Linked DNA regions of Arabidopsis thaliana. The protein of the gene in region 1 interacts with the protein of each later gene in a pairwise test. Each region holds a gene or a part of one and is shown in the gene's direction. Other genes may lie near its edges.

Region 1 (8,128 bases):
GTCTAGTGTCGTCGTCGTCGTCTTCGAATTCGCCACTTCTTGTATATACAAAACAAAGTAATCGCGAAAACACACAACAATCGCTGGACTCTGCTACTGCGAAGAACAACAAATTCCTTGTTTATCATGGTTGGTTACAACATCTCTTTCTATGGTGGATAATAGATCATCGTCTCTCCACTCAATTTCCTCGTAATTTTTGGTTTTTTTTTTCGATTTGATCAGGCGAATTCCGGCGAAGAGAAGTTGAAGCTCTACTCTTACTGGAGAAGCTCGTGTGCTCATCGTGTCCGTATCGCCCTCGCTTTGAAAGGTCTCAGCTAATGATCTTAGTTTCGGTTCTAGTCATTTTGTGAGCAAAGAGTGTTGTTCTTGGTCTGAATCTGGATCTTGTTGACTTTGTTTTAGGGCTTGATTATGAGTATATACCAGTGAATTTGCTCAAGGGTGATCAATTCGATTCAGGTTCGTAGTTTCTTGTTTTTGATTCGGATTCAAAGGTTATATTGAATTTGATTTGAAAAAAGTGTAGAAGCTATTATAGTAAGTAAGTAAGTAATCATGTGGATGAGAATGTTGAAATGTGCTTATGAATCATTTACTGATGGTTTGGGTTCTTGTGTTGAAAGTTTATCGTTTTGATCTTCAAGATTTCAAGAAGATCAATCCAATGGGAACTGTACCAGCTCTGGTGGATGGAGATGTTGTGATTAATGATTCTTTTGCGATAATAATGGTCAGTAGTAACACATCCATTTAAGTTTTTTTTGGTATTGTTGATTAAAAAGAACATTTCATCGATCTTCGGTTTTGTGGTGATTGGGTTGACAGTATCTGGATGAGAAGTACCCTGAGCCACCTTTGTTACCTCGTGACCTCCATAAACGAGCTGTGAATTACCAGGTATTTCAAGCTTTCTGTCTTTTGGTATTTCGGGTCAACTCTTGGTTTCTCGGTTTCTTTCTTTGAATCATACTTTGTTACATGTGTTTCCATGAACAATATCACCTTAGATTGTCCTGCTTCCCACTCTGATGCATTTTTTATTTTGTATATTGCAGGCAATGAGTATTGTCTTGTCTGGCATACAGCCTCATCAAAATCTGGCTGTTATTGTGAGGACATGAGATTGATGTCAGTTTCTTAGATTCTACTGTTCTAGATAGAGTAAACTTAGCTACATTTTTCGATTTTTTTACAGAGGTATATCGAGGAAAAGATAAATGTGGAGGAGAAGACTGCCTGGGTTAATAATGCTATCACAAAAGGATTTACAGGTATGCGATCTCTAATCTACCCTAATCTGCAACACTCTGTCATTGGCATGAGTAGTAAGATACAGAGACGTGATCAAGAAAAAGACATATGTTAGTGTTTTTAGTTTTATAGTGACCTATCTAATTATGTCTCCTTTCTCTTTCAGCTCTCGAGAAACTGTTGGTGAATTGCGCTGGGAAACATGCGACTGGTGATGAAATTTACCTGGTACTACTCTAAACCTCTCTGGATTTTCTTTATGGTGCTATCTTCGTAACATTTAAGATTCAAGTCAGTGATTCTTTGGTAACTTTAGCATAGTACCCTTTATTATACAAACCAGCAAGTAGACAATTGTTAAAGCCATGAAGCATTGTTTTGCAGGCTGATCTCTTTCTAGCACCACAGATCCACGGAGCAATCAACAGATTCCAGATTAACATGGTACTTTTCCTTCTCTGAATTTTTCTTTTGCTACCCAACACTATTTCAGGCTTAGATTTTTGCGTACTATATTCCCCCGGAATCCTAGATCAGTTCTATGGTAGCATAAATTATATGTTGTCTCTGTCTCACACTCTCACTCACAAAGATATTCATATTGTAGTAACATAGACGAATTCCTCAGTTTATTAACTTCTCATTTGCATCATTCGGTTTCTGTTTCTACAATGTTGTAAAACATGTATTTCTCTTTTATAGGAACCGTACCCAACTCTTGCAAAATGTTACGAATCATACAACGAACTGCCTGCGTTTCAAAATGCACTACCGGAAAAGCAGCCAGATGCTCCTTCTTCCACCATCTGATTCTGTGAACCCATAAGCTACTCTCACTTTAATAAAACCTCAGACAACAACAACAACAACAATGATAATAATAATACCTTGTACTCATACATGTATCATATAAACCAGTTACGTATATTATACCATCTCAATTGGAGGTATCTCATAAGAGTTTCTCACAATTAAAAAAATAAAAATAATGAAAATGAAGGAGAGAGAGTGTAGAAAGTTTCTCACTTGAGAAACTCTAAGATACTCTCAACAACCTATCATGACAATTCTCATCTCACTATTGGTTCAATTTTTTAATAAAAATATTTTTTTAATCAAATAATCAAATTATAATATAATATTAATATTTTTTTTGTTTGAGAAACTTTATGGGTTTCTCATGAATGGAGATGCCCTTAGTTTCTCTACTTGTATCATACAATAAAGGTCACAGATTTTGAAATTTGCAAAGATATATCATACATTCTCAGAGGAAGCCTTTGTCTCTAAGACTCTGGACCGTCTCCTTAACCGCATCTTCAACCGCAGTAAAAACCAGCCCGAGCTCAATCAATCGCTTAGCCGCATCATTACACGACGTAAGCCCAGGTTGAGTCTCTTTATCAAACTTGTGAACAGCAAACTCAGGGAAGAGCTTAGACACAAGAGCAGCAAACTCACTGAACTGATAAATCCCATTAGTGCATAAAAACCGTCCAGAAGCGTCAGGTGTTTCGAATAGCATCACATGACCTTTAGCCACATCTTTCACGTGAACCACACCGAGCCAGTGATGCTCTTGCGTCTCGGTCGAGCCTTGTAAAAGCTGTAGCAGAACAGCACAGCTTGCGTTTAGGTTCGGTTGCAGAAGCGGTCCGAGACATGTTGATGGATGAATCGTCACAATGTTGGTTCCATGCTTCTCCGAAAATTCCCAAGCTGCTTTCTCAGCTAATGTCTTCGAAATTGGATACCATTTCTAAAATCAAAATTATATACCAATCGTTACAAATATCATATAAATCATCACTAACCATTTTAAACCGAAATTTAACGAACCTGCCTCGACTTGCAAAAATCAAGATCGGACCACGACGACTCATCGACGGGAACTTTTTCCGGCCAATTAGGGTTAGGAACCAATGCGGAGATAGATGACGTGATCACCACGCGTCTCACATTAAACCTCTTAGCAGCTTCCAACACATTGATCGTTCCCTTAACCGCCGGTTCGACCAGCTCCTTCTCTGGATCTACCGGTGGATCCAACGTACAAGGTGACGCCACGTGGAACACTCCCGCACATCCATCAATAGCTCTGGAGATTGCATCAGAGTCTAAGAGATCCGCTTCAAAGATCTTGATCTTAGAATCGGATCCGGGTAGTTGCAGAAGATGAGTCGGGTCGGATCCTGGGTAAATCGAAGCGTGGATTTTAGTATATCCTTTCTCAATTAACGTTCGGATTATCCAAGATCCGATGAAACCATTAGCTCCGGTTACACACACTGTCTCTTTCGCCATTGTTGATCAATAAGCGCTCACTGAGAATTTTTTTGTTCTCTCTCTCTATCGCAATTTATCTCAGAAGATAAGAAAAAAAAAACATCTTTCCAGTAAAAAAGGATCCTTTGTTTTTTTCTTACACGTAAAAAATGGATTTTTTTTTCTCTCTTAAAGATATAATGCGTTGATACAAAAGCGTAACGTTGACATGATATTATCCACTAGTTTTATAGACTTTTCAAAAAAAGGAGAGAATTTTCAATTCTTCAGTAGTCAAATAGATGAAGACCGCCGGAGCGCCGCCGCAGAGAGGTGGTTCCTCTTCCTCCTCCGCCGTATACTTTAACTGGTCTTCATCATCTTGTTCTTACGATAGCTGTAGAGTTTTGGTGGTGAAGATGGGAGGAAAAAGCAAGAAGCCTCATCAATCTTCTTCTTTTAAGGTCCACACATAGATGCACATTTATGTAAAGGTTTCTTCTTTGAGAACTAAAAGTCTCTTTTTAATCCAAAATAGTTGAGAATTCGAAGCGGGGGTTTGTGATCAACTAATCCATCATAACATTCATTGTTTTGAATTGATTCTGAAATGGATTTGCCAGTCTTTTCTTCTTGGTTTATGATCAATTGGTTTACTGATTTGAATTGAATAATTGAATTCTGAAATTCTTCTCTGTTTGGTTCCTTTTAGATCTCTAGTATCGGAGTTACGGATATGATGAATTGTTCATTGAGCATTTTGCAAACCATTCACTTGATTTTGGTTTTTGATGGCAGGAGTCAGAGCCAGAACCACCGAGAATCAAATCCAATGTTAAGCATAACTTGCAGCTTCTCAAGTTATGGAAGGCATGTAGTAGTAGTGTGATCTTTTTGTTTCATTACTACTGTGTCTAAGTCTAAACATTATTAGTGTTCAAGAATTTGTCTAAGTTACAATCTTTGGAATTGTATGATATATATTGTAGGAGTTTCAGAGCAGAGGATCTGGCATGGCTAAGCCAGCGACTAGTTACAGGAAGAAGAAAGTAGAGAAAGACGAGTTACCGGATGATAGCGAGCTCTACCGGGATCCTACAAATACGCTTTACTAGTAATTACACTCTATTTTTACTATCTTCATATTGTTTTTAGAATGTATTTTGAGGTTTGAAAGTTTAAGGAATGTTTGTGATTCCCTGAAAGGGGTTTTACAGCACGAACCAAGGTCTATTGGATGACGCAGTTCCGGTTTTGCTTGTTGATGGTTATAATGTGTGTGGATATTGGATGAAGTTAAAGAAACATTTCATGAAAGGAAGGCTTGACGTTGCTCGGCAGAAGTTAGTTGATGAACTTGTGTCCTTCAGTATGGTTAAAGGTACAAACTTTGGACGAATCTACATTTGATTTCATCTATGGCTAATGAGTAATGAGACAATTTGATTTGAAATTGTTGTAGAGGTTAAGGTAGTGGTTGTGTTTGATGCTCTCATGTCTGGTCTTCCTACTCACAAGGAAGACTTTGCAGGGTACAGTCATTTGGCCCTTTTCTGTCTGTTTTCGATATCCTTATTTACTTTGACAACTCAAAAAGTTTTATCCTTTTTGGCCAGTGTTGATGTGATTTTCTCAGGAGAAACTTGTGCTGACGCTTGGATTGAAAAGGAGGCAAGGAAAAATGATCTCTTTACCCCCAAAGCCTGTTCAAATAGACGGCTTTACGAGAATAATTGTTGATGTTTCTTCATTTCTGATATTGATAGGTGGTTGCATTGAGAGAAGATGGATGCCCCAAGGTTTGGGTTGTAACATCTGATGTCTGTCAACAACAAGCAGCACATGGAGCGGTATTGGGGCATCATATCGATGTTATAAACTCGTTATGTTCATATCTTGTTTTTGATTTTGGTGACTGATTCTTGACAGGGAGCTTATATTTGGAGTAGCAAGGCATTGGTTTCTGAGGTATGAAGATCATCACCAAAGCAATTTGCTTCTTTTTTTTTTGTTTGTGATTTTGATTTTGTGAAACATGATATTGTAGATTAAATCGATGCATAAGGAGGTTGAGAAAATGATGCAAGAAACAAGGTCAACATCTTTCCAAGGGAGATTGCTTAAACACAATCTTGATTCTGAAGTCGTTGATGCTCTTAAAGATCTTAGAGACAAATTATCAGAAAACGAAACAAAGAGATGACAAAAAGACCAATCCGGATTATATAAACAATTAACAAGGCTTGGTCTCTCCATGTAACTTCTGTCCCAAGTAAGTAAGCTAATCTGACTTGTAAAAAACAGAGGCTGCAGAGGAAACGAGGGAGATAGAGAGAGAGAGAGCTCAAATGCTTTGTTATTGTTGTATTTGTGTCTGAATTCTTTTTGACTAATCTATATATAGATTCGTTTTCTTTGGTCCAAACATATGGTTAAAAGATAGTTCTGAATTTTTCTTTTAGCTTCATGCATAAGAATCATCTTAACCTAATAACCTATGTTTATTATTTTACAATAATGTAAAAATGTAAATTTTTAGTTGAATAATGAACCAAATTTTTATGTAAAAAAACTTGGATGTTTATTTTCAAACACAAACATCAGTAACACTTGAAGCAGTAGAGAGAATTGGAGGCAGAGCAAGTCTACAAATTTGCAGATAGTTCCAGGGTTTGAGCTGTTTGTTCTGGTCAGTCTCCAATCAATCAAAGCATATGGTTTATCGAGAATGGATAGAGATTCAAGAGAAGATTGAAGAACTGAGTTTGCAAAGGCTTATCAATGCCTTCGACTTCGAGTTGAGATTGAAGAAAAGGTAAAGAAATAGCAAGTGATCTTTTGAAAATAGATCTCATATATTAATGACTTTCCATGTCTGTATTTGCTGAAGTTGATCTGAATTTGCATATTGTTCATGTCAATGGATTGTCTGCTGTTACTAAATTTAACTTTGTGTCAGCACTCTTTACGTTTTGAATTGTCGAACCATTCACTTGTTCAGTTATTATTTGGTCTATCCATCCTTATATGTTGTTCTCTGTTTAGATAAGGACAAAGAATAGACACCAGAGGAACTGAACCAAACAGCTGAGGCAGTTGGATATGGTGCGGTGAAGTAAGTATACGTATCATCTCTATTCTACTGGTCACATGTCATGAGCAGGGAAATTACAGCCGTTTATCAGAAAGTCTGGCAAAGACATAGATGAGCTGAAACAGGTACTTTAGCTGCACGAACATTAATCACTTTTTTAACTTTATTCTTTGTTCCTCTTTGCTGCACCTGAAACTTTCACATTGTCTCTATCAAAGAAATGCTATTAGGTCCTACCAAACACAGTTCGATAAAGAGTAGTTCTTATGTTTCAACAACATCTGCTTCATTGCATATACTTGTTTCATATTTGACTTCTTTTTCTTGGTAACAAGATGAACAATTGCATAACTCATGTGTAAATGATTTGCAGACGGTTGAGGAAGCTTACACCAACTTGTTACCGAGCGTACTGTGCGAGTACCTCTACAGATTATCTGAACACTACACGGACTAGCGTACCATGAAATTTGTGGATTGGCCTCTGCAGCTTTGTTTGAAATTCACTATAGCTTAGATGGCGAATTGGATTTAGACATGGACTTCCGGATTGTATGTTGTCTTTGAGTCTCAAGGGATTGATTAATGTGATGATATTTATACACCATAGCTGAAATGAAATTTGTACTTAAAACTGATGGATAATTAATAACAGAGACGGTTAAGGAACATAATCCAACTACCAAACGACATAAGTACCATGAACATAAAATAAACTACTAAGATATGTAAGGGATAATACAACTTAATCATCTCTATCAGTTTTCGTGTTTCCTTTTTACTCACTGAGGATACCACTGAAGATCTGGTGGAGGAAATGTAAGATCTTCCGGCTGATAAACAGGCTGATCCGCAAGCTCCACGTATTCGTCGTCGTTGCGAAACAAGTAGCGGACCACAACAGCTAAACAGACTATCGAAGCAATAACACTAAGTCGTTTTTCAACAAAAACATCCCAGAAAAGATTAGAGACAAAAGCACCGAGCTTGGGGAGGATGAAGAACGTGAACAAGAATGAAGCAGCGGCCTTGTAATAGAACTGAATGGCATGGAATGCCACTAAGCGGCGGAAGGAGATCGGCCCGCCATTATCGTCAGCCATCGTTTCTTTCTTCTCTGTGTTTTCGATTTCAGATTTCTCTGTGCTTTAATGTCCGAACCACTCACTCTGATACCTGACAACCTGAGCTAAGGACTTTTTTCCCACTCGTAGGTAGTTACACTCCATGTCATTAATTATCTTGGTTTATAGGATATAGGTTTGGTAAGTATATACATTTCCGGTTGGATTTTGGTTAAACTATTTCGTTTTGTTTTACAGATCAGAAAAACAAACGGTTTATGAATAACTTCCGGTTTGGTTTTCTGTTTAAGGTGATGTTATTGGTTCCTAATTTACAAGGAATTTTGATGACTTCAATCAAATCCTAAAAAATAAAGAAATGAAAGATTTTTAACGATTGTTAGAAAGTTTTTTTATAATTTTGTTGATTAGTTTTTCATAATTTTGT
Region 2 (6,518 bases), on another chromosome or scaffold:
TTCGAAAGTATCTCATTGAAGTCACCCACTAGCAACCATTCAGCATTTCGATTATCTGAGATATTTTCAAGAGTTTGCCATAGTTGATGACGTTCAGATTGAGTAGGGTGACCATACACACAAGACAAGTAGAAGCTCTTGTTATTAAATGTTACATGAGAATCAATGAGTCTTTCATCCTGAGAAATCAAGGATAAAGAGACATTGTTTTTCCACATAAGAGCTAAGCCACCACTCCTTCCATTAGGGGGCTGAGTTATTACATTAGGGAAGCCTAAATCATATGCTAGTTTACATACTTTATCACACTGGTTTAAGGTTTCAACTAAAAATAAAATATCATAGTTATACATACGGAATAAGCGAAACAACCGTGATTGAGTCAGCGGCATACCGATGCCCTGACAGTTCCATGAGATGATCCTCATATTGGATCCCTTAGGGGTACCGGGCCCCCCGCGCCTCCGTCACGTCCATCATGTATCGAACACGATCCTGCAGATTCAGTCTTTCTTCCTTTCTTGCAAAGTTGACTCAGAACGCCCATTTCGTCTGCAGCTTCCACCTGTTGGTACATTTCTTCAAATCGAACCCTCTTTCTCTTCATGAAGACAAACTCATTTTGTGCATTGTCAGAGGACTCAAGGAGCAGATCTTTCTCAACCGGTGCGTCAGTTTTAACTCCTGCAAGTTTGGCGTGAAGGTAGCGGAGTCTTTCAACTGTGAGGTCTGTGTCCTCAATGACGCATGGAACCGAATAACCATCTGAAAGTTTTTGTACCTGGCGTTGATTCCCCTTTGAAAGCGAAGATTGAAGGCCGGGAATAAGAGTCGCTGGATCCACTGTCTGAAGAGTATCAGTGTCGCTTATGTCATGTTCTTTGTTGTCGTCGTGATGATCGTCATCATCATCAGCATCATCATCATCACTTGTCTCCACCGGATCTTCATTATCAAAGGAAAGGGTGCATGCCTTGATGTCATGCTTAAGGGAGCCACATTTGGTACAGAAATTCCTTAAACGCTCAAAACGAAACTTTATCACAGTGTTTTCACCATCAGCAAATTGGAAATTTCTTTGGAAGCGTAAAGGATCATCCAAATTCCAATTGATTCGAACTCGCACAAAACCCGTATGGTTTGAGTTCTCATCAAAGTCAACATCAGCAACATGTCCTAATCTATTTCCAACACATCTAGCCATTGCATTGGTAAGGAAAAGGAGAGGAATACCGGTGATTTGTACCCAAAAAGGAATGATCTTCATTTCAGCCTCGCTAAGGTTTGGATACCACCGATGAATCGAAAGCATCCAATCGTTGAATGACCACGGTCCACGACGGAGCACGAGATTCATCGCTTCCTCAGACTGGAACTTGAATTGAACTCTGCCTTTGTCAATAATCCGCCCGACGCACGAATCAGGAAAGCCCCAAACTCGTGGCATTTGTCCTATCAAGGCACGGAGGTTCTGTTTGCGTGGATTCACAGTTGTTACCACCAAGGAGAAACGGTTCACATATGCAGCCTGTGAACAAAATTCTGAAGTTAGAGCCACCGGTTCATCATCAATACCCAAGTTCAAATCCTGAACCGATTTACGAAGTCTGTCACTCATGATTGTGGATGACAGTGTTTGAGAAATGGTGAATTGCAGAAAAGGGAGAAGAAGGAGCGAATTGAAGTATATATAAGTTTGTATCCATGGCGGTTTGTGTGGGTAGTTACCCTCCGAAAGTGAAGGGCAATGATAACTGCCATGGAAACTGATTGGCAGAAAGTAACCGCCGTCATAAAACCGTGAAAAGAGACAGATTATGATGGTCGGAGAACTGCTCCGGCGAGGAGAATTGAAACGGTGTGAGTTAGGCAAAAAATCGCCCTCAGAGAGAGAGAGAGCCATCGTTTTAGCATAATTAGTAGTAGTACTTGATTTTACAAGAATTTCTTTTTTAAAAAAAATAAAAAATATTAATAAAATTAGATTTAACACGTCTATATACAAGAATTTCTTTTTTAAAAAAAATAAAAAATATTAATAAAATTAGATTTAACACGTCGATTATCTCTTTCACTCAAAGTATTTGATACATGTGTTAGCAAATTTGAAAATCATACTTTATATTATAAAATTTTTAAAAATCATTAACTATTCATCACCAATCTCTTCACTTCAAGTCTTCAACTCCCAAATTAGGGTTTAACCTTTTGTTTGAATTCTTATTCTGCCCAATGGAAAATGAAAATATTCGAATCAAAGTTGTTCCGTGGGTTTCGTATCTATCAAAAAATATAGAGTCTAAGACAGTCAAAATCTACCTAGATCCAAAAGTGATCTAACTATAAATAAGTCTAAGCCATAACTCATCTATTATACTATACTAGTGAATACAACTATTAAAATTCTTATATATAACTTGGAAGGTCCAAAGATTTTGGATCCATCAACAGAACAATTGGTTCAAATGTAAAAGTTATGAATGAAGCACAAAGTTCCTAACATGAATCGCACATAGCTCCAAACACGTATCGCACCGGTTTAAGAGACTACTAGCCACAAGGTAGGCAATGAGAGTCATTTCACTTTATTTGGTCTAAGTCTTGCGAATTCTCCATTTTCACGACTGATATGACTCGTTTTATATCTAGTCGTCAACTGTACTTAGTTTTGTTCGGGTTGTGAAATTTTCGTGATTGCATAGAATGTTACTCTTAACTTGATGTTAACCGGTTTCTCCATCATCGTGCAAAGCTGGAAACAAATTACAACAAAAAATCATGTTATAGAGCTAAAGAAAGAAAGGATTGAAATCAATATATGTTGCTATTCATGAAATCTTGAGTATATGAATTATTTTTGAAATTTATATTAATTTTTCTATACTTGAGAACATCTAAATATAATATATTTTTTATATTATACATATAATACTTTTCAAGATTTAAAATTGAAGAGTATATATATATATACCAAAAAAAAGGGACAACAGATAAAGATAAAAGGCCCAAATAATCACAAAAATCCTAGAATCGCATCGAACGGTTAGAATCAATCGATATCCATCATATCAATATACACTGCACCGTAGCATATAACAACCCCCTGGGCTTCTCCAAAGTTCTGGAGTCAGAGAAAATGAAGAAGAAACAAGATAACGAAGAACTGTCTCGACTTCTGTAATCTGTATAAAATACTTTCCACTCAAACATATATACACATCTCTAGAAAACAAGCTTAGCTAAAGAAGAAAGATAGAAGAATATGGCAGACAGAGGAATATTCTTGTATCCATTTAGAAGATTCCAAGAATGGTCAAGATCAACGGCTCTGATTGATTGGATGGAATCAAACAACTCTCATATCTTCAAGATCAACGTTCCTGGTTACAACAAAGAAGACATCAAAGTACAGATTGAAGAAGGGAATGTTTTGAGTATAAGAGGAGAAGGAATAAAGGAAGAGAAGAAGGAGAATTTGGTGTGGCACGTGGCGGAGAGAGAAGCTTTTTCCGGTGGTGGAAGTGAGTTTTTGCGGCGGATTGAGTTGCCGGAGAATGTGAAAGTTGATCAAGTTAAAGCTTACGTGGAGAATGGTGTTCTTACAGTTGTTGTTCCTAAGGACACTTCATCGAAATCGTCTAAAGTTAGGAATGTTAATATTACTAGCAAGCTTTGATGTCTAAACCGGGTTAAACCGGTTTTTGGTTTTCTTAAGATGAATAAAATTGGACTTTGTTATTTCATAAATCTAATGAATTGCAGTATGCCAGTATGTAATATTTAGGAATCCAATAAGATGTTAATATTACTAGCAAGCTTTGAAGTTTTAACCGGATTAAACCGGGTTTTGATTTTCATGAACCGAAAGTATTTGAACATTGAAGAATTGTAAAACAAGATTTAAACCAAGAAGAAACCAAAAGCTGATGATTTACATCTGATTGATTCTCAACAAATAAAACAACATCAAGAAACCAAAAACAAGCTTTGTTTTCCTCTAGACCAATGAGCTTGTTGTGTCTGTTTATGTGGCAGTTCTCGAGTGCTTAATGAGCCAATCGATGACCGCATCAATGTTTATCGAGTCCTTACACGAGATCATGTAACAGCAAACCTCTCTGTCTGTTACAGATTCAAGCCCTCTGCATCAAAACAATCCAAAGTCATATACTCGAATCCAGATTGTTTTGTATGGACTTTGAATAAGAAACTTACAGTTGATCAACCAAAGCTTGCTTAGAGAGAGCTTCAGACTTATCGATTTTGTTGCCAAGAATCAGAAGAGGAATGCCATTTAAAGACGGTTTCGTTAGCAGATCATTCAATTCGCTTCTTGATATCGGTACACTATCTCGATCTGCAGCATCAATCACATATCTGCAATATTACCACAGCAACATATACCATCAAAGATTATTAACCAAATAGTAACATGGGATGTTCAAAACATATCGAAGAAGTTTTAAGAGGATGTACACAATGGCGGAAACACCGCGACAGTAACGTTCCCACATGGTACGAAACCTTCGTTGCCCTCCAAGATCCCAAATCTTTATTGTAACATTTCCTTTTGTAACTTTCCTCATGTTAAATCCTACAGTTGGTATCATATCTTCACTGTAACCTCCAGTCTTGACAAATCCAAAGAAAACAAGAAGTGAAACGCGTAAGATTAGATTTGTTCGAGAATACTATTTATCGACTAAAACCTCTGATGAAATTTCTACTCACAGCAATGGCATTGACAAGAGAAGTCTTCCCAGCATTTTGAAGTCCAACGAGTGACAGCTCCATCTCTTGTTTGAAAAACAAGCTGACACAACAAATATAAGCAAACACAGAATCAAAATCTAAGTGTTACCAAAACGTGATTCTGCTATACACTAAAAACATAAGTATAACCAAAAACAACAATACATTACTAACCAACTATAACCTACTCTTTTAACCATTCTATAACATCACATAAAGCATCACTACTATAAATGGATTAAAATGACAATCAAGTCAAGAGAATTAATACACAAGAACATAGAAATAACGGTAGATTTCTCAGCGAACCAATTCATATAATGTAACAATAAAAGATACAGCCCAAGAAACTCAAGAGAAGTTTGAGATTTTGAAACAATAATTGTTGACTCTTTGTGAGAAAAATTGGTTTTTGGCAACGTTTTTACTAAACCCAGAACTATAACTCTAAACTACTTCAATGGAAGAACAAAAGGACTACAACTAATAAACCAACTTAATCAGCAAAACAAAATGAAAGTTAGAAATTTGTTTACCTCCGGAGCCAATTAAGAAGTGAATCCCAAAGACCCATCTCCAAAGATTTGATCTTTTCGAAGATTTAACACTCGAGTTCTGGATTTGGAGATTCAAAATCGAAATATTTCGTAGCCCTAGTTCGATTCTTGAATTTTGCTAGATGGGTAATGAGAGAAACAGAGAGGAAGAGGAACAGGGAAGAATCTGGACCTTACTTAAGGTAATAGAATTTGTCAGTTTGTGAAAACGGTGTCTCTTCCTTCACTCTTGGTGTCACGCTATTGTTGCTTTTAGAATTTTAGATGTCACCATTCTTTTTTTTTTTGTGTGTTCCTTTTATTTCTTTTATGGGAAATTTGCAAAGAATAACTAACAAAAATTTATAAATTAAAAAAGTAATACAAGAAAAAAAAAACAGCTATATTCTCTATATTATATATAATAATGGCATATTTACCTCTTTCTCTCTACCTTATTCTAAGTTCCTCCTTCTCTCCTCTCTTTTTCATCTTTTTTTTTTTTTTTCTCTCAATCTCTTCTCTTTTTTTTTTCTGTATAACACAACAAACAAACGAAAAGAACAAACTAGATTTTTCAGATACCACTTATGTTATCTGATTGCTTGGGTTGCCAAAGTTGTATCTTAGGGTATAGTTTTCTATACATCCAAAATAGTATAATACAACATTTTATTTCTATCCAAAATAGTACAAGTCTTTACTTACAAACACTACTTACTATTTTATAAATTCAAATTCGATTTTAAAAATTCAAACTATTTTGTATGTAGAAAAAAACCTATGTTTTTTTCTAATAAATTTTATAATTGAAATCTATTTTTTGGAAAAGATTTATAGCAAAAAAAAATAAATAGGTGAAAACTAAACTAAGTGTTACTAAATCATCTCACTTCCAATTCAACACTAAAATTGTCTTTTCCTTCTCCTTGCATGCTATTTTCTTAATTTCTATATATATGGTGCTATATTCTTAATTTGTTTATCAAATATGGTTATTCAGCTAAATCACCCTTTTCTTATCCATCATTTGTTTTGTTTTTTTTTTGTTTTTTTTTTCAAACAAGAATTAACACATACAATTTGATTTGTTCTGTTTTTCAGAAAAAAATAAAACAATTTGATTTGCTATCACAAGACCCAAACAAAAAAAAATCTCTTAAAAATACTCAATTAATTTAATATATACTACATTTTTTTGTGTTGCTAGAAAAAATACACATACTTGTT
Region 3 (7,230 bases), 9.3 Mb from region 1:
TGGTTTAATAGATATCAATTGCCAAAGGAATATGCTCACACATACATTGAACCTGAACAAAGAACTTTTGAATACTTTTAAATAAACTCATTTCGAGAGATAGCTTTACAAGGAACTGAGAGATATATGGTCACATGCTTTTTTTGTTCCGGCAGTCACATGCTTTTCTCTCGACAAAAGTAGATATTACGTCTCGATGTGAGTATATATAATGGAATTGACACAGACCGAACGGAATAATTTCCTTTCTCGTGAAAGAATATAATTTTAAGAATTGAGTTACAATACATTCTCCCTCAAAATTCGTAATGAAAAGTTGTACTTTCTTAAAGGAAAAAACTATTGTTTTATAATACTTTGATGGACGTACCACTTAATAATGTATTACATTCACTACATCACAAAGTAATACTTGTATGATACATCAAGGGACAGAGCATATTGATTATCATGAAAAACTACTATAGTTGAAAATCATAAAAAAACAAAAGCACATTGAGATACATATCATATAATGGGGGAAAAAACACTCATACGCCTAAAAATTTCCAATGCATACCACTTCATGTTCGTAGATTTATTCAGAAAACGTGTAGGGTATCAGGATAATGAGAGAAACATTAATCAAATCTCACGTGAAGGGATGCAGAGTTAGTAAATGAGATATACAAGTACGATTGCGGACCACACATACACTTATACATGTTACTCGGTCAATGTCATTAATATTTAATTTGAATAAGAAAATACCAACTACATAAATGATTAGTGGTAATAGTATATACAATTATGGGAAGGAAGAATTTGGTAGTAGATACGATGGACCAATAAGGGAAAATCTCATACCGTATCTCCATTAATGACACCTTCTTGTTTAATCTATAAAATTTGGCTTCGATAATTAAACAGAATCTTAAGAACTCTTTTCGATATCTCTTACCTTATCTAACTATAACTTGAAAGAAGAGAATGAGGAAGCTCACGACAAGGTTCATGTTGGCATTGGAACATGTGCAGGCGACGTTTTTTGTGCGGTACACGGCTGATGTACGGTTTAACGTATTCCTTTGTATATGAGTATCATGTTGACAACAAATAAAACGACAAAGGAAATGAACTTTACTTCAACATAAATCTTTTAGACATGTTAAACTAGCTTATATCAAACAATGAATAGTAACGATAGGCTCTCAAAACTCTAATCGATCTATCCTGTCGTTTTCGATTTACGTAAGAATCTTATTAGTATCTTTTTGAATATCCAAAATAACTGATTTTTGTATATAAAAAGTAGTAATAATATTGGCATACAGGCTGGCTTCTTTAGTCAGAAAAGTCTCTGAAGAATCCAACAAAAAACCTAAACCACTTTTAACGTCATCCTTATCTTCGTTTTATTTTTCTTTTAATCAGAAAATCAAAAACAAAAACAGAAGAAACTGGAATCACTCAATAAGTATGGATACTTTACTTATACGTTTCTAATATGTATAGATACGTCAATTCAATACGCAAAATACAATTTCGAAAAAAGCGACGTTTGTGTTTCAGTGCTTTTAAATTGAAAACAAAATGTGTTTTCACACAACAAAATAAAAAATAAAAATATTCTTAAATTTGTTGTGAAACCAATACAAAATACAACGTTCAAAAAAGAAAAACTAAAACGACACACGACATATATGATTTTATAATTAAAGTCGAAGGAAAACGTAATTTTTTCTAAATCTAATGAAAATACCAACAAAAGTTTTTAAACTTAAATCGAAAGAGACCGAACCCAACAACTAAAATCATAAGCAACTAAACACAAACCCTTTAAAAAACATTAGTCTTCAGAATCAATAAATCCTTTATTTTGAAATAACTACGGATAAAATTTATTAAGTATATGCGATCAAACCAAAGATAACATTAATTACTTTCTATCGATATAAGAAACAGTCCCGTCTCAAGCTATAATTGAGCCTTTGCCAAAATAAAAATAAAAACTAAAATCTCTTAATAAAATTTTGTTTTAAGAAAATTGGGCCTTTTATGCTTATGATTGTTTTTAAAATCAGTAATAGATCCATGGCATTTGCCTAATTTGCCATGGGGTAAAGACGGTCTTGATAAGAGTCAATCTTTCACAACCTAAACTAAAGATTTTATAATCCGACAAATAAAACGACCGAAAAAACTTAAATACGTTTTTAGATACGACAACGATAATTAATGTGCATCTAATTACGTTTAAATAGAAATCTTCAAAAATTCGACCATACCAACACTGATATGCAAAGGAAAAACAAAGAATGTAACCTTCAAAATGCAAAAAGAAAAGATAATTAAAAAAGGAAATAACTTAAAAACGAAATGATTTAAATTAAATAAAAAAACGATCCACCTGTGAAACGCTCTCAAGTACCACAAAATGTACTCTCTCTATCACACACAGTTACATATTTCGTTGACAGCTGTCCCCACTAACAGCTGTTTCCCAAATCCCCAACCGTTTTCTTGGAAAGATTCTCTCTTTATTTTAGCCTCACTCTCTCAGACGCATTTCCCCCAATCGCACCGCCACTCCCTGACGTGCTTTTTTCTTTCTCTTTTAAATATTCAAATACGTATCAGACTACTCACGTTACATCTTCTTCATAACTAATCCAATTTAGAAATTACGCAAAATTACTTAAATATGTAGTTTTTCTAAATAGTTTTACATAACTACAATATATAAGAATTTTTAATTTGAATTTATTTTTTGAAAAAGGTTTGCATTTATAATTTGATGTAATATGATTTGATTTTAGTTTAATATCTTTGTTTAGTTATAGTTAGAAATACAGTACATGTTTAGTTATAATTTAACATTCATTAAAAAAACATTACATAATAATTTGTTTAATAGTATATATTTTAATAAATTTTAGTTTAGAGTTTATTTTGTTTGGTTCAAACTAAATTTCAGTTTTCTGGATTTTAAAATAATAAAACAAAACGGCATATACTTACATATTTAATTTGGTGTCAGTTAACTTATTTCAATTTGATTCAGTTGAAAACATAATTATGCACGTAAATAATCCAATTTACAGTTACGAAAAAATTAAGTTGTTGTTAACTAACGATAAAAAATTACCGGTAGAACCGGTGACCTCTCTAACCATCACACCTCGTATAAATACTCTCTCCTCTTCATACTTATCCTCTCAACAAAAATCGTTTCGTTCTTTTCCAAAATCCCCAAACAATAGAAACGCGTTTTAAACGATTTGATTAGTTTTAAATTAAAAAGAAGATCCGAGCGATGTCTGGTTCGACCCGGAAAGAAATGGATCGGATCAAAGGACCATGGAGTCCTGAAGAAGACGATCTGTTACAATCGTTGGTTCAGAAGCACGGACCAAGGAACTGGTCTCTGATAAGCAAATCAATCCCTGGACGTTCCGGTAAATCTTGCCGTCTCCGTTGGTGTAATCAGCTTTCTCCGGAGGTAGAGCACCGTGGATTCACGGCGGAGGAAGATGATACGATTATACTAGCGCACGCTCGGTTTGGTAACAAGTGGGCGACGATTGCACGGCTTCTCAATGGTCGCACTGATAACGCGATTAAGAATCACTGGAACTCAACGCTGAAGCGGAAATGTAGCGGCGGAGGCGGCGGAGGAGAGGAAGGGCAGAGTTGTGATTTCGGTGGTAATGGAGGGTATGATGGTAATTTAACTGATGAAAAACCGTTAAAACGGAGGGCGAGTGGTGGAGGAGGAGTTGTTGTGGTGACGGCGTTAAGTCCAACGGGATCTGACGTCAGCGAGCAATCGCAATCTAGTGGATCTGTTTTACCGGTTTCTTCTTCTTGTCATGTTTTTAAACCGACGGCGAGAGCTGGTGGAGTGGTGATTGAGTCATCATCGCCGGAGGAGGAGGAGAAAGATCCGATGACTTGTTTGAGGTTGTCTTTGCCTTGGGTCAATGAGTCAACAACTCCACCGGAGTTGTTTCCGGTGAAGAGAGAAGAAGAAGAAGAGAAGGAAAGAGAGATTTCTGGACTTGGTGGAGATTTTATGACGGTGGTGCAGGAGATGATTAAGACGGAGGTTAGGAGTTACATGGCGGATTTACAGCTAGGAAACGGCGGAGGAGCTGGAGGAGGAGCAAGTTCGTGTATGGTGCAAGGAACTAATGGTCGTAATGTAGGGTTTAGAGAGTTTATTGGATTAGGTAGGATCGAGTAGTGAGTGAGAAAAGAGAAGAATTGTGTAGCAAATGCAGAGAAAGAGCCAATTTCATGATTTGAGATTTGATTCATTCGAAAAAAAAACTGAATAAATGTATTGATTTTGATCATGACATGTCTTAGATTTAATGAAATTGGTCTATAAAAGGGTTGATGAGGCTGGTCCTCGAGGTGAATCAATGTTACCTTTTGATAAAGTGAAAGAAGAGCATGAACAAAGTCATTTCCATACAAAGAGGAGTTTACAGCATTCTTGATCTCTCTAGACTGGTCTTGCGATTCGAAGAGTGAAGTAATGAATTCTACTGAACCAAGTGACGATTTCCGTAGTTTGTTACCTTCGGTTACCGACTATAGCATCGCAGTAAAGGTTATAGTGTGAGAGACAACATCATATATAGATATTCAATGAATGATACAGAGTGTAGAACAGATCACCTCAATACAACTAACTGTAGCAGTAAGGCCTCTACCGGGGAAATACTCAAAGCACAAGGGAGGTCCTTCCCAATACTGTGGCTCTGCAAAAAAGAAAGAGTTTGATTGTGTTAATAACTATCAAGCGGTGTAAGATTACTGATGTTTGACAAGCAAATACCTTCCAATAGGATGTATGGTACCTTTCTCCATAGCAGCTGCTACAACTAATGCTTCCTTTTCACAATTTGGCATACAATACAACAAGGAGTCACACTTGCATCAATTCCTGCTTGATGATGTCCATAAATGGGTTCAATTGCTTTGCACGTAAGGCTCCTAATGTTTACCTATATAATGGAGAAGAAATATGCACTAGATATGTGTATAACTTGTTGTCCAAGCCAAATTTCCACAGCTCCATCCGGAACAACATCCTTCAGAAACTATCTAAAGAATTGGTTAACTTCAATTTCCACGGAAATCGCGATTTCTTGGTTAAAGTTGAAGTGGATGTAGCTGTTAAAGAGGTAAGCTTAGGTGATTATCACTCAGAAGAAGGTTAAAGTTAAGTCGCTTCTTTTTGCTTTGTGGATTTGGAGCTTAACTATGTTGTTATTGAAACTCATTAAAAACATGAATATCCAGTTATTCATTCACATAATCAGAATAATAAATTAATTACAATATATATTACATTGTACATTATTATCAAATGAATTTCAATAAGTTAACAAAAGAATATTCCTACAGAGAACAAATGAGGTTCTTCCAATTCTTGATTTTCCCAAGTTCTAAGCATAAAAAGAAAAATCTGAATAATTAATCTGAAAAAAAACTAAACAAAGCAATCAATTTCCGGAGCTAGACCAAAGCAGCCACATTAACTGGTTCGGTCGGGAACTTAGTGACCGGGTCCACTCGTGCTGGGACCTGAATGCTTACCATATTCAAGCGTCTCAGTCCGGTCCACGAACCGATGACCCTCACCACCAGAGCTAGGACCCGACTCCTTAATCGCCCCAAGTGACAAACCATCGAAGAACTTAGCCACGAGGTTCTCTTCAGCCTTCGTTAAACCCAAAGGACGAGCCTCCACCACAAAATTCGAACTCACCAACATGAAAAACAGAAACGAACCCAAAACAACTTTGTTCATCATCATTTTCTTTGAGTGGTATTTTTGAGTAGTAAAAACAAAAATGTTTTTTATTTTATTTTTCTTGTGTTCCCTAATTTATGAGATGACTAAATTTGTTGTGAGTAGTTTGTGGACTTGGGAGTTAGAATATATAGTAAAGTGAAGAGCCTTGAAGAAGAAGAAAAGTTTGACATTTTCAGTTTTTGACTTCATAAGCTTAAAATTCAACAAGACGTGAGATTTGAATTTTAGGCTCCTTCCTGGGAAAATACTGAGGTTGCTTCTTGTTCTTGGTCTTCCAATTTCTTTTTAAAAATATAATTTGCGAACATATAAAGCCATCAACGAGGAATGGAGATTAGTTATTTGGCTGAAGAAATTAAATGATTTTAATTTTGTCTCTGATTGTTTGGAATAGACTTTTAGTTGTAGACCATAAACTATGTGTGGAATTCAAATCTAGTATGGTATTTTATGTTTATCTATATAATATTGTGACAAAACCTAATGTCCTCACCTTCCTTCAAGTATACTATAATCACTGTAGATGACATTAACTCAAAAATGTTTTATGATAAGAGTTTTCTAAGGATTGATTACCACAAACATATATTTGATGATCTAAATAGTTACATAATTTTTCATAACCATTTTCACTACTTCGACCGTTAATTTGAAAGAATACTAAATTCACTACTTCTACCAAATTAACGGTCGAAGTAGTTTTTAGTTGAAAATTAAAATTGTTGGGTGGGCATCAAACTTGATTGATGTTACAAAATTTCAGGCCCCACCAATCTATCTATGTACTTTTCTTGTTTCTCACGTTGTTGTTATTTCCATTCAAAGTAGCCTTCTTTGAAATGTTCATGAGCGAAGTATCAGATTGTTGATATTTCAACCTTTGTGTGTGTATTTTTTTTCTCAAAACCATCCTTAAAAATCGTTTAGTGGAACTTAATGTATGACGACGAATATGTGTATGGAGGACTTTTCTTTTTAAGTACATTGTAAAATTTTCTTTATATTTTCACATTCATTGGTTTTGGTTATAAAAGAAAATAAACCTGTAGATTAGAAATTACCGAAAATGAGATCTGAGTTGGATGGTACATAAAAAAACACGAGACTCACCTATTCCCTATGTTCCTTTTTGTTTGATTTTTTAAGAAAAATATTTCAAAAAGATCGATGTTTTAAATTTTCTATGTAATATTTATTAATTATTATCAATGAATTGTAAACTTTAATAAAAATGATTGAATATCATTGATTTAAAATTATAGGAAACTGTAAAATACAAAAAATAATACATTTAAAATCAACATTAATATGTTTTCTTAATATGTGCATTTTTCTAAACAATCAAATAAAAAGGAACAAATGGAATATATGTTTGGGCTATTTATACATTCTAGCAAATTAACATTCGGTTTGGTACATGC
Region 4 (8,842 bases), on another chromosome or scaffold:
TCAGGAGCATTGAAGACGAGGTTGGAACTTTGAACAGGATTCCTTCCAAGCCGGTGGTTATCGCAGACTGTGGTGAGCTCTGAGAGAGGCTACAATGGTGTCTTGTCTTGTTTTAATGGTTGCTCTGTTTTTGTTTTTAGTTCGTTTGGATTTTGAGTTTGGTGGTAGTTTTAAATCTGAAACAAAACAAGATTTTTTTCTTCCATATATGAAAATTCTGGACACAGTTTCAATGAGAGCAACCAAAATAGTTGAAGCTTGTTACATAAAAGTCAAGAGGATACAATGTTAAAGAACATATGAAGGAGACAAAAGAAACAAAGAAGAATAGTACGTACTCTCTCTGATTCAGTTCTGGTTTCCCCTTAACTCGTGGCTTTACCGGTAACTTTTTGGGCAATCCAACCGAGCCCATCATACAATCCTTCTCCAGTAACCGCACAACTTGCTTGAATATGCCAATCATGGTTCTTGATACTGTGAAGGTTAAGTGCATCCGTGATCTCAGCAGGAGTCATTGCGTCTTTCAGATCCTGTTTGTTTGCAAAAACTAGTATGACCGAGTTTTGAAGATCCTCATGACCAAGTAACCTGGCTAGCTCATCTTTCATGAAAGAGATTCTGGCTCTGTCTGTGCTATCTATAACCACAATCACAGCATGTGTTCCACGATAGTATGTTGCCCATGAAGTTCTTAGCCTATCTTGCCCACCAAGATCCCATACCTAAAGACAACATATCATAAAAGTAAACATCGCCTCAAATATTCGATTGCCAGTGTCCAACAGTTAGTTTTTGACAGGAAACAATTCAAACTTTAGTAAGTTTAGTTACGTTTATATTCATCATTGAGTTTTGACATATAAGAACACATGCAGATTGTCATAAAACAGAGATGAATTCATCTCAGGCCATGACTTTGACCACTGTATAAAGATGTTCCAAACAGTCCTCTGGCAAAAAAACTAAGCTAATGGGAAATAGCAAACAGTTCCTCCGGTATAACAAACAAGCTAGATAAACAACATCTACAAAAATTTACTATACAAAACCATAAATCGCACATACGAAAACGTTCATTATGAGTTTCTGACACCTTCTCAACCAATCATGACAAGAACTTAGACAAAAACATCATCCATTTTTCAACGAGAAAAATGCACACACCCAAGCAAGAAACATAGCTAGGGACAATAACACAATCAAAAGATGGCAATGGCAAATTTAAGAAACATCCATAAAGTTTCAAACTTCTAAAACACGTCCCTAGATAAGAAGCTAAGAAACAACTTCACCCAAATGAATAAAGAAAGAGTCCAGTACCTCAAAGCGAATATTCTTGTAGACAAGCTCTTCAACATTGCTACCAACAGTAGGATGAGTAGTAACAACTTCACCCAAATGAAGTTTATAAAGCGTCGTCGTTTTACCAGCATTATCCAAACCAACAACAACAATCTTATACTCTTTTGCAGGAAACATCATGAACCAAAACCTCGACATGAATGCTCCCATCTCCTCCAATTTCTATCACAAACAAGATCCTAATCAAATAAAACACATCATTACTTTTACGATCAAATTGTTCTACAAACAGAGTGAAATCGAGAAACCCTAAAGATACATCCTTTAAATTGACCCATCAATTTTACAAACCCAAGTAATTGAATCAGAGAAGCCCAGATCAGATTTGGATACAACGATCCCAGATTCGATAAAGTTAACCAAATCTAAATTATATATATACAAATCGGGAAATTTGTGATCAAACCTTGAATCAGCTAGAATCTGAAGATTGCAGAGGTAAGAATCGGAGATCAAAAAAAGTTCTTCTTCTACTATTTTGTAAGCTTTTGAGGTTCCTTCCTTAAAGCAGATGGGTGGAGAGAAGAAGAAGAAGAAAAGTATGCGGGAAACAATGTCAAAACTGTAAATATGATGATCTAAATTATTAATAACTTTTAATATAACAAATATTAAAATGAAAACTATATAGTAATGTTTTCTTTTACTTACCCAAACGGCTGCAGCCTCTACCGTAATGGCACCGAACACGTCACCGCCATTAGCCACGACGCCAAAGACGAACATTGTTGAAGACTTGAAATCCACAAAGATGTTTTTAAACGAGAAAAAAAAAAACTCAAACGGGCTTAGGGCCTTTCCATATATTTTAGATTATAACAATTACATTTTCTCGGCCCACAGAAGTATATAAAATTAAATAGAAGTAAATTATATTGAGGATTTAAAATAACAAATTTAATTATAATTTGAAATCATGGTTATAATACGATCGTGTGAAATGTTAATTAAATGCTTATATTGATTATTTTATTATTAAATTTGTGCTAATTTTGGTAACGAATCTTATTTTTGTTATTGTATACGATGATTTAAAATATATATATATATATATATATATATATATATATATATATATATATAATAGTTCTAGAAAAGTCTAATTGGATTTTTTAGATCCTATCATAGTTGATAGTTCTCTTTTTGTATATGGCTAGCAATGCGGAATCGACTCTCTACATTAGATTCAATGAAGGCTTGGAATGTGAACTTGAATCGAACATGTGTGTTATGTAACACTCTTATCGAGACACGAGAGCACTTGTTTTTCAGCTGTAAGTACTCGTCGGCAGTCTGGTCCTCCCTAGCGAAACCACTACTCTAGTGACGATTCTCTACAATATGGCAAGCTCTAGTCATTATTATTACTTCTGATCACTGTAACAGAATCCATATATTCTTCCTCTAATACAGTTTTCAAATAATGGTTCATTCGATTTGGCGAGAACGCAATAAAAAAAACACACAATAAAACTCTGATTCTTATCACACATCTTCCTAAGTGAATAGATAAGCTGGAAAAAAAAAAAACTCTCAATCATTTGAAAGGAGAAATATAGTAGATACGAACCAAATCTCCAAACATGGTTTGCATCTAAAAGTCCTTAAAACCTCTCTTGTATAATCTAATTTCAAAACAATTTTGGAAAAGTTACATTTGATGTATCCTAACTTTATTTTTTCTTGGTCGAATTTAATATTTTATTAAAAATAATAATAGTAATAATCACAAAATCTAATTTGATCATTCTTAGGTGGGTAGGTACACTTATTTTACATACAGCCTCGACGGCACCAAAACATAGAATATATATATAAATACAAATACAAATATTCCAAATATAACCTCTCTCCCAAAGTCCTATCATATCAGAAAAAAAAAAAAAAATCCAAATTCAACACTCTCACACTTCGATATCTCCGCCTTCATTCTCCTCAGAGCCAACTGTCCTGAGATTTCGATTTCGATTTCTCCGATCTCTCTTCCTCCGTCGCCGGCGAAACCATGTCTCAGTCTATTCAATTCTCCACTCCTTCACACACTCCTCACCTTCTCCATCTCCCTCACTCACAATTCAACCGTCCTCTCTCCTCTATCTCCTTCCGTCGCTTCCCTCTAACAACCATCAAATACACTTCCATCAGAGCCTCCTCGTCATCATCTCCTTCACCGGATCTCGATTCATCGTCCTCATCATCATCCTCGCAAGTACTTCTCTCACCTAACGGTACTGGTGCTGTGAAGTCTGATGAGAGATCCGTTGTCGCTACGGCGGTTACGACTGATACGTCTGGGATTGAGGTTGATACTGTGACGGAAGCTGAGCTTAAGGAGAATGGATTTAGAAGTACGAGGAGGACGAAGCTGATCTGTACGATCGGACCGGCGACTTGTGGATTTGAGCAGCTTGAGGCGCTTGCTGTGGGAGGTATGAATGTGGCAAGGCTTAATATGTGTCACGGTACGCGTGATTGGCACCGCGGTGTGATTCGTAGTGTTCGGAGGCTTAATGAGGAGAAAGGCTTTGCGGTTGCTATTATGATGGATACTGAAGGTAGTGAGATTCATATGGGAGATCTTGGTGGTGAAGCTTCAGCTAAAGCAGAGGTTGTTTAATCTCTTCTTATTTTGATTTGAATTCGATGTAGACATTGCTGTGTTTGTGATTTAGATGTTTAAGCTTTGGTGGTGATGACATTTTTACAGGATGGTGAGGTTTGGACTTTCACTGTTAGAGCTTTTGATTCTTCTCGTCCTGAACGTACCATTAGTGTTAGCTACGATGGTTTCGCTGAAGGTATATGCAATTATGTTTATGTAAAAGTGGAAGTGAAAACATTAGATGAATATTATGGTGACTGCGTATGAAATAGGAATCATTTGGTCTTTGTGTGTGGTGTAGATGTAAGAGTTGGGGATGAACTTTTGGTTGATGGTGGGATGGTGAGATTTGAAGTGATTGAGAAGATTGGTCCTGATGTTAAGTGTCTATGTACCGATCCTGGATTGTTGCTTCCTCGAGCTAACTTGACGTTTTGGAGAGATGGAAGTCTTGTACGAGAGCGTAATGCCATGCTTCCAACAATTTCTTCCAAGGTTTGTAATTTTGTATCTTCCCTTTAAGCTTTGAATTATGATTCACTTTACTTGGTAAATTTGGGAGGGATCAAAGCAATGGTGAAGATGTACACTTTTGGAAACTAGATGAGTCCATGTTAGCAAAACAGATGATACCTGAGGGAAAACATACTCATTTTCACTGATGATACCTCAATTCTTTATATTCAGGACTGGTTGGATATTGATTTTGGAATTGCTGAAGGTGTGGATTTCATTGCTGTATCGTTTGTCAAGTCGGCTGAAGTCATTAATCACCTTAAAAGTTATCTTGCTGCTCGTTCCCGTGGAGGGTAAGTAAACATGCTCAATATCAACACATCATACTACTGTACAGGAAACATATGATCTACTTTGGGATTGGGTTTTGCGTCATGTATTCACCATCTTTAGTTATAGTTTTATTTTGATGTTGTATTCAACTATGATGCAGGGAAATTGGAGTGATTGCAAAGATCGAGAGTATCGATTCACTGACCAATTTGGAAGAAATTATTCTAGCATCAGATGGGGCCATGGTTGCAAGAGGAGATCTGGGAGCTCAGATACCTCTTGAGCAAGTTCCAGCAGCTCAACAGAGAATCGTCCAAGTATGCAGAGCTCTTAACAAACCCGTCATTGTCGCTTCACAGCTATTGGAGTCCATGATTGAGTACCCAACTCCAACCAGAGCAGAAGTTGCCGACGTGTCTGAAGCAGTAAGACAAAGATCAGATGCATTGATGCTCTCTGGAGAATCAGCTATGGGACAATTCCCAGACAAGGCGCTCACGGTTCTAAGGACTGTCAGTTTAAGAATCGAGAGATGGTGGAGGGAAGAGAAACGCCATGAGTCTGTACCGCTTCAAGCCATAGGCTCTTCATTTTCAGACAAAATCTCAGAAGAGATCTGTAACTCAGCTGCTAAAATGGGTAAATTTAGGTTCTTTGTTTTCCATAGAAGGCAATATGTCTTTAGTGTCTCATTTTACTATCCAAAAACTTGCAGCTAACAATCTTGGAGTGGACGCGGTTTTCGTTTACACAACGAGCGGACACATGGCATCACTGGTCTCCCGATGTCGCCCGGACTGCCCGATCTTTGCTTTCACAACCACAACCTCAGTGAGAAGACGCTTAAACCTACAATGGGGACTTATCCCATTCCGTCTCAGCTTCTCAGACGACATGGAAAGCAACTTGAACAAAACATTCTCGTTACTGAAATCAAGAGGTATGATCAAATCTGGTGACCTCGTGATCGCAGTCTCGGACATGCTGCAATCAATCCAGGTAATGAACGTCCCGTAATTCTCTCTCTTTATACAATTTCGCAATCCCGCAAAAGAGTGTTTTGTTTCCTACTTTTGTTACTGTTTTTAGACTACTCTTACATTAGATTCCAGAGGCATCATCATCTTCGGTTTGTTAACAACAGTAATGTGTAAGCTTTGTTTGTAGTGTGTACTGTTTGTTTTTGGTTTTCAATAATATCAGTAATCTTATTCAAATATTCGATTCTATCATTTAGTCCTTTTGTTTTATCTTTTTGTTAGGATATATATGTAAACCCAAATAGGATGAGTTCGAATATATACCATAACCCTATATTATAAATAGTGTATATATAATCACAATTAGAATCGCCTCTCCATTAGAGAAGATATTTGAACAAACATGAAAAGTTGCAAGAGACCTCGGATGAAGAATCAAGAGAGAGATTTTTATGAAACTCCGTCGGATTGTTCGGAAGAAGAGATTCAACGGAGTTGCGAGTTCGTGAAAAAAGTTAAAGAGTTGGATGATAAGACAATCATCGTTAAATTTTTAAATGCAATGAAGTCTTATCGATCTAAGTCTTTAAGTTACATCGATCTCAAAACCAAAGTCGCTTCTATTCTTCGTAACCACGACGCTCTGCTCCAAGAATTCCATCAGCTTCTTCTATTAGATTCACCTATCACAGAGAAGGATTGTAACTCGGCAAAATCAGACGTAGAACGCACGGTTGAGTTGATGAAGAAAGTGGAAGGTTTGGGAAAGGGTTTACACGGTGCGTTCCTAAATCAGCTGGTGTTTGGCGGTGATATTGTGGATTTGGTTGAACAACTCGACGTGATTCTCTGCGATCACGCATCTCTTAAAGAGGAGTTCATATTGTTTCTAGTTGATTCCCGTTTACTCAAAAAACCGAAACGTGGTTTTGAGGCGGGGGCAGAAGAGTATAAGACTAGACTTGAAACTGAAGAGGAATTATCATCCTCTGATGAGTTTTTAAATGGGAAATACGTTTCAAAGAGTCAGTATGATCTGGATCAAGTGAAGAAGAAGAGACTGATGCAAGAGTAAGAAGACGAAGATGACTGATGCGAAAGAATTTAAGGTAAAAACGAAGCTATGACCGTCAAGAACTAAAGAGCAATGTGAACAAGTGAAGAGAGTTTTGTTTCTTTTATTTTTCTAGTCTTTTTTTTTTATTATTGATTTGTGGCTACATTGTGATTGTGATTGTGAATCTCGTTATGTTTCTTTGCATTCGAGTCTTCCAATGTTGTTTTCTATTCACCAAAAAAAAAAAAAAAACGTTGTTTTCTTAGGAGGGCGTAATGAATCCTTTTTCAAAGTTTTTATGCACACTTGATTTAAAAACGTGTTTAGGAAGTTTATGAAAACTTCTGATACACTTTGGTTATCAAAAAGTTCATGAAAACTTCTTAAAAGACTCTGATACCATAAACATAACAAACACAATGCCTTTAAATGTTCTTGTCCTTTTTGCCTATTTTCGTCAATTTTCACACTTAACACACTTATACATTGATGCCTTCTTTGCTTGCTACGTAAACTCGGGATTCTACATTCTAAGGATGACGGGCTTATTTTCTAATGTTTGGCCCATTTAGGCCCGCAGGTTTTAACCCAACATCTTCGAATATATAATCATCGTCAATATATTGCTTTTTGATGTTGTTATTGCTATGGACCGGTGAGAGAGATATATTAGTTCGCCCCAATCAAAGTTAAACCAAATTTTTTTGGTCGAGGCCTCGAGTGAAACAAAAAAGATGGTGCTGTGAGTTACAAAAACAATCACTTATTTGTGTATAATTTGTAGAACTACTACACTTATATGTTATTTTTTCCAAGAATATCTCTATTTTAGGTTCAAATATATAAATTTACCCTCAGAACTAGTTGATAAATTTAATTTAAAATAAATAAAAAGTGTTGATCGAAAGAATAAAAAAATCGTAGCTCTATCTCAAATAGTAATTTCTTTTTAAAAGTAGTATTTCTATTACAAAAAAAAAGAACAAATGTCTGTTTATCTTTTTGAAAGTTATTCAAAAAAAAAATTGGCAATTGATAAAATTTCTAAAATGTGATATAAACTACTTTTACGGACTTACTTGTCACAACGGTTCATTTTAATATCTTTCCGAAAGTTTTGGGGTCCTCTTGACCAATCGTTTCTATGTTCAATATTCCGAAATTAAACCGTGAAACTCACTCAAAGAATGATTTTAACTATTTTGCAACACCAATTTTACACTCCGACACTAATGAGAAACATATCAACATAATTGAATGCGTCAAGTATAAAAACTAAGCTGGTGGTTTAAATTAATCCACTAGATTAGAGAACGTAATTTTTATATAGTTTAGATTAAATTAATGTAAATCAAATAATATTGGAGGATTTGATCATATCTTCCCTTCTACTGTTTGCATCACTTAAACCAATGGTCCCATTTCTATTAAAATAGAAGCAAATGGACCCAATCATATATTTTAAATGCAAAAGACTCACAAGTTTTAGATTAATCATGAAACAGTTCAATAATTCAATTATTATATATAGTCAGAATAGGGACCTTTAATTAAGTAGTTAATACTTTACGGGTCCGAATTATAAAGACATATACAAACAATGTAATAAATTGATAATAGAGACAACAACACCAACAATAGCAAACAATAAATTAAGAAATTCTATCCATGTTATTGGCTGTGAATTCAACCACTAAATTATGATGAACATCGTACATATACCACCCACTTTTATGATAAATAACAAATGTATTATTGGAAATAATTTGTTACATTGCATGAGAAAAGTCTGTCTTTGGTTCAACTATTTTTAGGTTATCTTCTCTAAATACCTCAACTAATCAAAAGATCCAATCTTCACTAAATAAGCAACTCTCTTTAAAATGCTTCCTTTAGCAAATATGTATATACGTGCTTTGTTTTGTCTGCACAAATCTGAATTACCAGAAAAATAGGAATATTTTCAAAAGAAACAGCAACAAAACTCCAAAAACAAAAAGAAGCAAAAAACAGGTAGGGTAATGATTATGTAAAGCAGTATATATATTT

What was found.
Region 2: the proteins of AT2G02410 (region 1) and AT5G37670 interact in a two-hybrid assay, tested with the Arabidopsis thaliana proteins (one large-scale study listed by BioGRID).
Region 3: the proteins of AT2G02410 (region 1) and MYB70 interact in a two-hybrid assay, tested with the Arabidopsis thaliana proteins (one large-scale study listed by BioGRID).
Region 4: the proteins of AT2G02410 (region 1) and PKP-ALPHA interact in a two-hybrid assay, tested with the Arabidopsis thaliana proteins (one large-scale study listed by BioGRID).

Annotation. Positions count from the first base shown.
Region 1 is NC_003071.7:628,889-637,016, forward strand, and holds AT2G02410 (yacP-like NYN domain protein), read left to right. Parts: upstream 1-3,745; 5' UTR 3,746-3,824; coding exon 3,825-3,986; exon of another isoform or gene 3,987-3,998; coding exon of another isoform or gene 3,999-4,016; intron 4,017-4,320; coding exon 4,321-4,392; coding exon of another isoform or gene 4,393-4,396; exon of another isoform or gene 4,397-4,511; coding exon 4,512-4,636; intron 4,637-4,739; coding exon 4,740-4,903; intron 4,904-4,984; coding exon 4,985-5,193; coding exon of another isoform or gene 5,194-5,262; exon of another isoform or gene 5,263-5,288; coding exon 5,289-5,372; coding exon of another isoform or gene 5,373-5,441; exon of another isoform or gene 5,442-5,451; coding exon 5,452-5,490; intron 5,491-5,569; coding exon 5,570-5,725; 3' UTR 5,726-6,106; downstream 6,107-8,128. Other genes in the region: GSTZ1 (glutathione S-transferase zeta 1), read left to right, coding at 127-129, 226-313, 409-465, 630-736, 832-903, 1,062-1,115, 1,202-1,277, 1,424-1,485 and 2 more; AT2G02400 (NAD(P)-binding Rossmann-fold superfamily protein), read right to left, coding at 2,525-3,016, 3,097-3,561.
Region 2 is NC_003076.8:14,965,773-14,972,290, forward strand, and holds AT5G37670 (HSP20-like chaperones superfamily protein), read left to right. Parts: upstream 1-2,985; 5' UTR 2,986-3,262; coding exon 3,263-3,676; 3' UTR 3,677-3,819; downstream 3,820-6,518. Other genes in the region: ARLA1A (ADP-ribosylation factor-like A1A), read right to left, coding at 4,025-4,142, 4,216-4,377, 4,477-4,631, 4,732-4,813, 5,289-5,326. UniProt on the Arabidopsis thaliana protein: Possesses chaperone activity.
Region 3 is NC_003071.7:9,901,890-9,909,119, reverse strand, and holds MYB70 (myb domain protein 70), read left to right. Parts: upstream 1-3,087; 5' UTR 3,088-3,295; coding exon 3,296-4,225; 3' UTR 4,226-4,614; downstream 4,615-7,230. Other genes in the region: AT2G23270 (uncharacterized protein), read right to left, coding at 5,549-5,809.
Region 4 is NC_003074.8:8,135,999-8,144,840, forward strand, and holds PKP-ALPHA (Pyruvate kinase family protein), read left to right. Parts: upstream 1-3,186; 5' UTR 3,187-3,370; coding exon 3,371-3,973; intron 3,974-4,072; coding exon 4,073-4,163; intron 4,164-4,268; coding exon 4,269-4,462; intron 4,463-4,654; coding exon 4,655-4,776; intron 4,777-4,916; coding exon 4,917-5,395; intron 5,396-5,471; coding exon 5,472-5,773; 3' UTR 5,774-6,054; downstream 6,055-8,842. Other genes in the region: ARFC1 (ADP-ribosylation factor C1), read right to left, coding at 366-725, 1,324-1,515; AT3G22961 (Paired amphipathic helix (PAH2) superfamily protein), read left to right, coding at 6,140-6,811.